Linked DNA regions of Saccharomyces cerevisiae S288C. The gene in region 2 interacts genetically with the main gene of each other region. Each region holds a gene or a part of one and is shown on either strand. Other genes may lie near its edges.

Evidence for each region.
Region 1: mutations in YLR154C-H (region 2) and SRV2 together harm fitness less than expected from each alone (positive genetic interaction), as found in Saccharomyces cerevisiae (one large-scale study listed by BioGRID).
Region 3: mutations in YLR154C-H (region 2) and FAL1 together harm fitness more than expected from each alone (negative genetic interaction), as found in Saccharomyces cerevisiae (one large-scale study listed by BioGRID).

What each region holds. Positions count from the first base shown.
Region 1 is NC_001146.8:365,080-368,821, forward strand, and holds SRV2 (adenylate cyclase-binding protein), read left to right. Parts: upstream 1-1,661; coding exon 1,662-3,242; downstream 3,243-3,742. Other genes in the region: THO2 (Tho2p), read right to left, coding at 1-638; U2 snRNP complex subunit YSF3, read left to right, coding at 954-956, 1,079-1,333; mitochondrial 37S ribosomal protein uS4m NAM9, read right to left, coding at 3,516-3,742. UniProt on the Saccharomyces cerevisiae protein: The N-terminal domain binds to adenylyl cyclase, thereby enabling adenylyl cyclase to be activated by upstream regulatory signals, such as Ras. The C-terminal domain is required for normal cellular morphology and growth control.
Region 2 is NC_001144.5:467,107-471,690, reverse strand, and holds YLR154C-H (uncharacterized protein), read left to right. Parts: upstream 1-2,732; coding exon 2,733-2,864; downstream 2,865-4,584. Other genes in the region: asparaginase ASP3-1, read left to right, coding at 1,286-2,374.
Region 3 is NC_001136.10:485,105-488,503, reverse strand, and holds FAL1 (ATP-dependent RNA helicase FAL1), read right to left. Parts: upstream 1,701-3,399; coding exon 501-1,700; downstream 1-500. Other genes in the region: ATG31 (Atg31p), read left to right, coding at 1-432; putative uridine kinase DAS2, read left to right, coding at 2,060-2,758; GCV1 (glycine decarboxylase subunit T), read left to right, coding at 3,139-3,399. UniProt on the Saccharomyces cerevisiae protein: ATP-dependent RNA helicase involved in 40S ribosomal subunit biogenesis. Required for the processing and cleavage of 35S pre-rRNA at sites A0, A1, and A2, leading to mature 18S rRNA.

The DNA.
Region 1 (3,742 bases), on a different chromosome or scaffold from region 2:
ATAATATGATAGATTTCTTTCAAATATGCGGACACTTTGGAAAAATTGTCGGGATCATAATACGCCAATATTAATAAGGCTACCAATTGACCATAACCCACTGAATTTTCTACCAAAAGGTTATATTTCTTCAGTTCGTATTTTGACTTTTTTAACAAATGCCTTAATAAGGTGGTTTGTTCCTTGTTGAGCAGCTTAGAGGATATCCAACTAAATTTGAACAATTCTTCATGCAACGACGGTATTAGTTTACATAATGATATGGTTGTTAGATCATTTATATTTGGAACAGTGCTTGAGACGGCGATAAACATTTTACCAACTATGGAAGCCTGGGACACTTGCCTTTCATGATTCACTAATTCATTAGTAAATGATGCAACATCAGAAAGCTTGAGGGGAGAATTTTCATCGTTTTTATTTATGAAATCAAACAGTTCAATAAACAAAGTCCTCAACCAGTCTTCCTTTTCATCATTTGACTCCAGTGCAGTGAAATCGGAGCAGAGAGTTTTTGATCGTTCAGGCCAGTTTCGTATCACCTCTTCCGTTAAAATGCTTGCCTGACTAGGGGAAGCTGGTGGTATCACTTTTTGAGAAAGAGCGTTCAATTTGGAAAGTAGCGTCTGTTCTGCCATAAAGTCCTGAAAATGTATACTGGTGCGAATATGTATCAACTGAAACCGTTTCACCCTATTATGCTTTAGATAAAGACGATAAAATCACAGCCCTATAATTTATGCAACAGTGTTTGCTTCTAAATCAACGTGTTCCCTGGGCATAAACTCTCATACGTTATGTCGCTATTGAAGAAATAGCGGAAAATCTTACGCCGAAGTTAGCGTTGTCACCCGGGAAGAAGAGAAGAACATAAGCCTTCTCATTCAGAACATGTAAATAGTGGCTAAAATGGTTATATTACACAATTCGAAACAGTGAAATTAAGAAAAGAAATGGTATGTTACGTTCTATTGCGCTTTAGTTTGAATTGAAATCATCTTTACCATGGTACTAACTACGCTTGCGATGAATCGTGCAAGTCCGTGCGGCTTATACGTAATGCTAATACTCAAAACAGGCGGAAAAGCAGAGGCAGTTGAAGTTGCAGAAGATATACAAACAAAAGTACATCGGACTGGGAGATGAGAGCACTACACGAGAACAGTGGCAGAGAAATGTGAGAAACGATACACTAAATACATTACAAGGCCACTCCGCATCTTTGGAGTACGTTTCATTGAGCCGAGGAGACCTTAGTATACGTGACACTCGTATTCACCTCCTGAAATCCATGTCCCCTGGCTATAAAGCCTACTTACGAGAAGAGAGGTAGGACGTTGAAGCCACATCCATAAATAATTTTTACATAAAATTACGCCTCGTATGTCGTTCTCAAGATTTATGGTAGAGATCACACTCAGTCAGTAACCTTTTAGGCATTGATTCTAGTAACTGTCGAACATTATTAACCTTGATGTTTATATAAAGATATAAAATGTTGGGACAGTATACAATTCATATCGTTTAAAATGATCTATACATGTCGCGTGAAGTCATAAACAGGGATTTAGAAGTGAAATCTTTTGGTAGTATAGGGGAAAACTCAGCTTGAAACTTTTCGTAATTGAGTAGGCCAAGTTGCAACCGTGTGAAATCGAATCATGCCTGACTCTAAGTACACAATGCAAGGTTATAACCTTGTTAAGCTATTAAAAAGGCTAGAAGAAGCCACTGCAAGATTAGAGGATGTCACCATCTATCAAGAAGGTTATATTCAGAATAAATTGGAGGCATCTAAAAATAACAAGCCTTCCGACTCCGGGGCCGATGCGAATACTACGAATGAACCTTCTGCAGAAAATGCTCCTGAAGTAGAACAAGATCCGAAATGCATAACTGCGTTCCAATCTTACATCGGTGAGAATATTGATCCGCTGGTAGAATTATCAGGAAAGATCGACACGGTGGTCTTAGATGCTTTGCAGTTGCTAAAGGGAGGCTTTCAATCGCAATTGACTTTTTTAAGAGCTGCTGTGAGATCAAGAAAACCGGATTATTCTTCTCAAACTTTCGCTGATTCTTTAAGACCTATCAACGAAAATATTATAAAGCTGGGTCAATTGAAGGAATCAAACCGTCAAAGCAAATACTTCGCATATTTGAGCGCTTTATCTGAGGGTGCTCCTTTGTTCTCCTGGGTTGCAGTGGACACTCCCGTGTCTATGGTCACAGATTTCAAGGACGCAGCACAGTTTTGGACTAATAGAATTTTGAAAGAATACAGAGAGTCTGATCCTAATGCTGTTGAATGGGTTAAGAAATTTTTGGCCTCTTTCGATAATTTGAAAGCCTACATTAAAGAGTATCATACTACTGGGGTTTCCTGGAAAAAAGACGGTATGGATTTTGCTGACGCGATGGCACAATCAACGAAGAATACAGGTGCTACTTCATCTCCTTCGCCAGCAAGTGCTACAGCGGCTCCAGCACCACCACCTCCTCCACCAGCCCCACCAGCTTCCGTCTTTGAAATCTCTAATGATACACCAGCAACGAGTAGTGATGCTAACAAAGGCGGTATTGGCGCGGTCTTCGCCGAACTAAATCAGGGTGAAAATATCACTAAGGGTTTGAAAAAAGTAGACAAATCCCAACAAACTCACAAAAATCCTGAATTACGTCAATCCTCTACAGTTTCTTCCACAGGAAGTAAATCCGGTCCACCACCAAGGCCAAAAAAGCCATCAACATTGAAAACTAAGAGGCCTCCTAGAAAGGAATTGGTAGGAAACAAATGGTTTATTGAGAATTACGAAAATGAAACTGAATCTCTGGTTATTGATGCAAATAAAGATGAGTCTATCTTCATAGGTAAATGTTCTCAAGTTCTTGTTCAAATAAAAGGAAAAGTTAACGCTATCTCGTTGAGTGAAACTGAGTCATGCAGTGTTGTTCTTGATTCTAGCATTTCCGGTATGGATGTCATCAAATCCAACAAGTTTGGCATTCAAGTTAACCATTCCCTACCTCAAATCTCCATTGATAAATCTGACGGCGGTAACATCTATTTATCCAAGGAATCCTTGAATACTGAAATCTACACCTCGTGCTCAACTGCTATTAACGTCAACTTACCAATCGGCGAGGACGATGATTACGTAGAATTCCCAATCCCTGAACAGATGAAGCATAGCTTCGCTGATGGTAAGTTCAAATCTGCTGTTTTCGAACATGCTGGTTAATATTGCGAGGAGCATTAATTGTATTTAGTTAAAAGAAATAAATCACATTTGAATCAATCAGAAAGAAAAGTGAATGAATAAACAATTATATACTTTTTGTAAAACCTTTTTTTCATGTGTAACCTTTTCTTAAAGAAGTAACAGGAAAACGAGGAGCGACTAAGTGACTACTTGATCGTTCGAGTAGAACTTAAAAACAAAAAAAATTAAATATTTACAGTGTAAAGAGAGGCTGAAGATCAGTCAAAAGACGCGTGCAACAATACACGACGATCATTTACCATTTCTCAAGTAATACATATATGCACGTTCATGAACAGGAACATCAAATGGTGAAATTACTTCGGATTGGCCTGGTCGAGCGACGGGATCCCTTAGGTATACAGCGTGGCATGTCTTGAAAGATATTTCCAAATGATGAGGTAAAATGGCGAAAGGCGATAAAAATGGTCTTGGCTTCCATGGTGTGAAAAAGGGTTTTTTAGGATCTTGCCTACCAT
Region 2 (4,584 bases):
TTGAGCCTTGTTATTCTTCGGAACTGGGGATAGTAAAATGCGACCCGCTTAGGATGATCAAGCTATCTTTGGGACGGAGTTTTGTCATGGGAGTGGTCATCCTACTGGTGATGCTTCAACATTTGATTTACTAAATTTTGAAATCGGCCGCAGAATAAAACTATTATGTCCAAACAATTGATGGTCGAACCAACGTTAAGGGTTTCAAGTATTGAATTGAACTTTTATGAGTTCTATAATTTCGTTGCGCAAATTCAACTAAACCACCAATATCCCCCCTACAACGCTACACTTTATACCGATAGAGGAATAACGCATAGAGCCTTCGTAGAATTCTTCAACTCGTACGTGATGGGGATTCTAAACCTATCGTCATGTCGCTGTACAAGGCTGCTGCCTGCTTTCAAATTCCCAATTTTACCATGTCCGTTTCGCTGAGCCGAATCGTCACACAAGGTAATTAGTTCTGGGTATCGCTTCAGTATAGCACTGGTTTTTTCCTTGTAAAACCACAGTCTAACAATTAAATGAAGCTTTTCGAAGAAATTAGACCATGTTAGACTGAAAGCAAAGACTCCGGCCCGTTCTGAGGTAAGTTCAATGAAATTGGACAGTTTCTTTTCAAGGTTAGGTTTTGTGTTCGAAAAAAATAGATTACCGCACCTCCTTTCCAAACCCCATGAGTTTCCATTAAGGAAGAGCAACGTCAATAATACCACCTTTTGCAGATGTGATTCAACTCAAGATGCTGTAATCTTTCCCTTCTGACCCTAGATCACCTCATGATATCCTTTTGAGGCAATTAAAGCTGCAGTGTAAACTGTTGAATATCTTTTTGAAACCAAAAAAAAGGACGTTCCACACTTGGCTGCTTTCTTGATAAGCGAGATCTTTACTTGGAGATCTCGCTTAGTCCTCCGAAGGGTAAACCCCGTCTCTTATCTTTAAAAAAATGTATCAGACCCTTCAGCACGTGACAGACAGCAAACTACCAGTCGACGAGGATGCTTTTCCGAAAGTCATGACACAAGGGAAGGACTGTAAGATCGATATCGGCGCAGTCTTATCGGATGTTCCAAGTCCTTGTCTCTTTCATTATCTGCTTGCTATCGCAAAAAAAAAAAAATCAATTTGTTTAATATCAACACATAATGTACAAGAACAAATCATGACATACAAAAGCCATATAAGATGAGTCTTCAAGCAGCACCAAGAGGCCTGAGGCAGAGCAAATGTTGGCTCGCTATTCTTTTGTAAGCAATCTGGTACTCACCAACCTCCAACTATGAGATCTTTAAATACCCTTTTACTTTCTCTCTTTGTCGCAATGTCCAGTGGTGCTCCACTACTAAAAATTCGTGAAGAGAAGAATTCTTCTTTGCCATCAATCAAAATTTTTGGTACCGGCGGTACTATCGCTTCCAAGGGTTCGACAAGTGCAACAACGGCGGGTTATAGCGTGGGATTAACCGTAAATGATTTAATAGAAGCCGTCCCATCTTTAGCTGAGAAGGCAAATCTGGACTATCTTCAAGTGTCTAACGTTGGTTCAAATTCTTTAAACTATACGCATCTGATCCCATTGTATCACGGTATCTCCGAGGCACTAGCCTCTGATGACTACGCTGGTGCGGTTGTCACTCATGGGACCGACACTATGGAGGAGACAGCTTTCTTCTTAGATTTGACCATAAATTCAGAGAAGCCAGTATGTATCGCAGGCGCTATGCGTCCAGCCACTGCCACGTCTGCTGATGGCCCAATGAATTTATATCAAGCAGTGTCTATTGCTGCTTCTGAGAAATCACTGGGTCGTGGCACGATGATCACTCTAAACGATCGTATTGCCTCTGGGTTTTGGACAACGAAAATGAATGCCAACTCTTTAGATACATTCAGAGCGGATGAACAGGGATATTTAGGTTACTTTTCAAATGATGACGTGGAGTTTTACTACCCACCAGTCAAGCCAAATGGATGGCAATTTTTTGACATTTCCAACCTCACAGACCCTTCGGAAATTCCAGAAGTCATTATTCTGTACTCCTATCAAGGCTTGAATCCTGAGCTAATAGTAAAGGCCGTCAAGGACCTGGGCGCAAAAGGTATCGTGTTGGCGGGTTCTGGAGCTGGTTCCTGGACTGCTACGGGTAGTATTGTAAACGAACAACTTTATGAAGAGTATGGTATACCAATTGTTCACAGCAGAAGAACAGCAGATGGTACAGTTCCTCCAGATGATGCCCCAGAGTACGCCATTGGATCTGGCTACCTAAACCCTCAAAAATCGCGTATTTTGCTACAATTATGTTTGTACTCCGGCTACGGCATGGATCAGATTAGGTCTGTTTTTTCTGGCGTCTACGGTGGTTAAAGCCTGATCAGTGACTTTTCATCACACTGTGTTTTTATATAGTTCTTAGTAGTAAATATACTCTATAATTTCTACATCCTTTTCATGATGTGCCAGTTAAGCTATTTTTAGCAAACAAAAAGATGAATTTGAGTATTGAGCACATCATTCACTGTTCAGCTGATACAAAACATATGATTTCTAATATTCACATAGGAAAAATCGCTCCAAACATCGAAGTATCATCGCTACTTTGGTCTTTTATCTGCTTCTCTTCTCTTCGCTCTTTTCACTGCTCGTGCCGCTGCAACGCTCCAACTCAGTTCTATCTCAGCTCCTTCCCCTTATCCCTTGAGCAGTGTCAAGGCGAGGCTGCGTGATGTATTCGTGCGCGAAAAAAAAAACAACTGCAGCACCTGAGTTTCGCGTATGGTCACCCACTACACTACTCGGTCAGGCTCTTACCAGCTTAACTACAGTTGATCGGACGGGAAACGGTGCTTTCTGGTAGATATGGCCGCAACCGATAGTTTAACGGAAACGCAGGTGATATGAGGGCAGGGTCCAGACATGTTCAGTAGGTGGGAGTGAGAGGTGTTATGGGTGGAGGACAATTTTTATTATATTTCATCTAATAGCAATAGGATATGACAGGTGAAAAAGCAAAAGCAATAGTGCATTGTGATGTGGAGAATAAGGTGCATACGATGAAAAAGGTGATTTGTCATTTACAAGAGGTAGGTCGAAACAGAACATGAAAGTTGGTCGGTAGGTGGCATGCAGAGGTAGTTTCAAGGTGACAGGTTATGAAGATATGGTGCAAAAGACAAATGGATGGTGGCAGGCATAGTAAAATGATGGTGTGGAAGACATAGATGGTATTTGTTTTGCATTTACGGCACCGGATGCGGGCGATAATGACGGGAAGAGATTTAGTATGTGGGACAGAATGTCGGCGGCAGTATTGAGACCATGAGAGTAGCAAACGTAAGTCTAAAGGTTGTTTTATAGTAGTTAGGATGTAGAAAATGTATTCCGATAGGCCATTTTACATTTGGAGGGACGGTTGAAAGTGGACAGAGGAAAAGGTGCGGAAATGGCTGATTTTGATTGTTTATGTTTTGTGTGATGATTTTACATTTTTGCATAGTATTAGGTAGTCAGATGAAAGATGAATAGACATAGGAGTAAGAAAACATAGAATAGTTACCGTTATTGGTAGGAGTGTGGTGGGGTGGTATAGTCCGCATTGGGATGTTACTTTCCTGTTATGGCATGGATTTCCCTTTAGGGTCTCTGAAGCGTATTTCCGTCACCGAAAAAGGCAGAAAAAGGGAAACTGAAGGGAGGATAGTAGTAAAGTTTGAATGGTGGTAGTGTAATGTATGATATCCGTTGGTTTTGGTTTCGGTTGTGAAAAGTTTTTTGGTATGATATTTTGCAAGTAGCATATATTTCTTGTGTGAGAAAGGTATATTTTGTATGTTTTGTATGTTCCCGCGCGTTTCCGTATTTTCCGCTTCCGCTTCCGCAGTAAAAAATAGTGAGGAACTGGGTTACCCGGGGCACCTGTCACTTTGGAAAAAAAATATACGCTAAGATTTTTGGAGAATAGCTTAAATTGAAGTTTTTCTCGGCGAGAAATACGTAGTTAAGGCAGAGCGACAGAGAGGGCAAAAGAAAATAAAAGTAAGATTTTAGTTTGTAATGGGAGGGGGGGTTTAGTCATGGAGTACAAGTGTGAGGAAAAGTAGTTGGGAGGTACTTCATGCGAAAGCAGTTGAAGACAAGTTCGAAAAGAGTTTGGAAACGAATTCGAGTAGGCTTGTCGTTCGTTATGTTTTTGTAAATGGCCTCGTCAAACGGTGGAGAGAGTCGCTAGGTGATCGTCAGATCTGCCTAGTCTCTATACAGCGTGTTTAATTGACATGGGTTGATGCGTATTGAGAGATACAATTTGGGAAGAAATTCCCAGAGTGTGTTTCTTTTGCGTTTAACCTGAACAGTCTCATCGTGGGCATCTTGCGATTCCATTGGTGAGCAGCGAAGGATTTGGTGGATTACTAGCTAATAGCAATCTATTTCAAAGAATTCAAACTTGGGGGAATGCCTTGTTGAATAGCCGGTCGCAAGACTGTGATTCTTCAAGTGTAACCTCCTCTCAAATCAGCGATATCAAACGTACCATTCCGTGAAACACCGGGGTATCTGTTTGGTGGAACCTGATTAGA
Region 3 (3,399 bases), on a different chromosome or scaffold from region 2:
AAGTACATATTTGAGGACAACAATGATGAACTAGTAGATTCAAGTGATGCTGCTTTGACAGCAGGAATAGATAAGGTCGGAGATGAACTTGAAAATGTCATAATTGTCCAATTGGATGAATCGGGATCTCTTGAGGATATCACACTAATCAGCGACCAATATGAGCTTTTGTCACATAGGACAAATAGTCTCAGCTTGGAGGAAAACCAAATGAGAACATTATCATCACATGGTGATGATAAATCTAATGATGAAGAGGAAGAACTTAGCGTTGACAGTGATAGATTCAGAGTGGACTCGGACATTGAGCTCGATGTAATTTCACAATTTTGCGATCTGTCTCCTTTTCTTCGCGATTTGAGTTTGAATGACTTAATTAAACTCTACGTCACACAAAATGAACAATTACAAATGCTCTCCAATTCCGTATGAAAGCAAAAATGAAGCCGCATGGATGAGACTCTCTTAACTTGTTTATGTAGGTATATGTTCTCTATATTTTATGATAATTCTGCAAAATTTGCTGGCATCGGATTTATTTTGATAGAATAGAATTTTTCAATTTCTCTAAGTTTTGCTAAATCAGCTTTGGTAATGAAGTTTATAGCCACACCCTTTCTACCAAATCGACCACTTCTACCGATACGATGGATGTAATTTTCTATTATTTCTGGTAGGTCATAGTTAATGACTAAAGAAACTTGTTGGACATCAATACCGCGCGCCCAAACATCCGTCGATATCAGTACACGAGAATGACCTGTTCTAAAATCATTCATTACTTTATCTCTTTCTTCTTGTTTCATATCACCATGCATGGAGACTACAGCAAAGTTTGATTGGATTAGCCGCTGAGATAACCAATCTACTTTTTTCTTGGTGTTACAGAATATCACACATTGTGTAATGGTCAAAGAATCGTATATATCACACAGAGTATCGAATTTCCACTCTTCTTTGTCAACATTAACGACATATTGTTTGATACCTTCAAGTGATATTTCATCCCTCTTCACTAGGATTTTAACTGGATCATTCATAAATTTTCTGGTTACTTCTAAAATGTCCTTATTCATTGTTGCGCTGACAACAACAACTTGGCAATTTTTAGGCAATTTTGCAAAAATATCGTATATTTGTTGCTTGAAACCTAGTGTCTCACTCAATAATTCATCAGCCTCATCTAAAACTAACATTTGAACATTTCTTGTTTGCAACATTTGTTTCTTAATCATGTCTAATACTCTTCCTGGTGTTCCGCTAACGGCCTGGCAACCATGCTTTTGCATTTTCTTCAGGTCGTCTTTCAAAGTTTTACCACCTGTAATGGCAAATGCATTGACATTCATATAATCCCCTAGATTTTTTACTACTTGCCCAATTTGGCTTGCTAATTCACGTGTTGGAGATAGTATTAGAGCTTGTAAATCTTTCTTCCTTAAATCAATAGCTTGTAAAAGGCCGATTGTAAAAGTTGCTGTCTTACCTGTACCTGATTGTGCTTGTGCTATAACGTCCTTGCCCGAAATAATCTGTGTAATAGCCCTTGATTGGATAGAGGATGGTGCTTCAAAACCGTATGAGTATATTCCTCGAAGTAAGTCATCTTTTAGATTCATGCTTTCAAAAGTAGAAGACACCTTTAATTTTTTCGATGTTTTAAACTTCAATTTTTGGTCTTCTTCTCTGTCAAACGACATGTCTAATGAGTTTTTTTTTTGTTTCTGTACGGTCTATTTTATTTGAGTGAACAAATTTTTATACCTCTTGAAGGAGTGGTGGCCCTTTTATATTAAAATTTGTGTATAATTCATGTTTTTATTTTGTCTGGGCCCTGCTATTATCTAGCTCATCGCATAAAATAAAATTTTCAAACTTCGGCATAAATTCTCGACACTGATAGAAAAAGCAGATCAAATAGTAAGCAACTATGGATTGTACGCTGCCATCACGGATAATTCAATTTATCTGTACATTTTTCCTAGAGCATACCACAAGGGAAATCGTTTTTAATTTTCGTTTCCTGCATTAACAATTAGCGAGATAAATATTACAGGAAATGGACAGAAAAGCTGTCGAAGAAAAAAGAATTGTTATTTCTATCGGTGGAGGGCATGCTACTGGTGTTGGAGCAATTGCACTGGATTTACAAAATACTTTCAAAAGCCTATATAACTCTATCAATATAAGGGTAATAAACCTAGATAATATGATAGAAGGGAACATCAAGAGCTACAATAATAACGACTATGATTTTGATAATATCCTTAATTTGGTATATGAAAAGCACGCTGTAACTTCTCAAAATGACATGATTCAACATGATTACGAGGACCCGATAGATTTGATAATAGTATGTGGCTGTTATGCGCTATACGATAAACGCATCAACGAAATATCTCAATTAAAAGTATTCTTGGATAGTGATGCAGATAAAAGATTAATTAGTCTAATCAAGAAGAAGAACGTAGGGAGCAATGAACAACTAGCCCAGTTGATCACTGAGTATATGGACCATCTGCGCCCGGAGATGCAACAATATATAGAGCCCACTAGAACTTTTGCAGATTTGATCATTCCTTCTACAAATGAAAATCTAGGGCGCGCAGTCCTCGTGGACGGTATAGTTAAAGCAATCGAAGATACCAAAAGCCAAATAGAAGGCAACAATACGAACAACAAAATACGCCCACGTTTATGGGATTTCGAAGCTGAAACAATGGACTTGGAGAAAGATAGATATTACGATCTGTCATGAGGTCCTTGCCTTCTATATCTGCGCCACTTTTAATCGGCTCGATGCGACTAACATCCGTATTTACCCACACAAGCTTATTGATTTTTTTTTTGCATTCTTGGATCTCGATGGGCGCTTTTACTCCATTAGAACCATGCTCACGGGAAGCTGAGTTCTTACTTAGAGCTGGTCATAGATATCACCTATTTTGTTCATCGCCGTGACTTCTTTCGGCAGGGCGACTCTGCTCAGGAGCCCTGACTCGTGTTGCCTCGAGTAAACGGTATGTCAAAAAGAATAGGTCCAAATATCATATATATAGCACCTTGAACCCAAACAAATCCAATTACAGTACCCGTAGCTCACATATGTAGAAAGAGCTTTGCCTGGCACAAGCAATAATGTCTATAATCAAAAAAATTGTGTTTAAGAGATTCAACTCAACTTTGAAAAAAACTGCTCTTCATGACCTTCATGTGTCATTAGGCGGTACAATGGTACCATACGCAGGATATTCCATGCCCGTACTATACAAGGGACAGACTCATATTGAATCACATAATTGGACCAGGACAAACGCTGGTTTATTTGATGTTTCTCATATGTTACAAAGTAAGTTATCTGGTCCTCATTCTGTTAAGTTTCTGCAACGTGTAACGCCC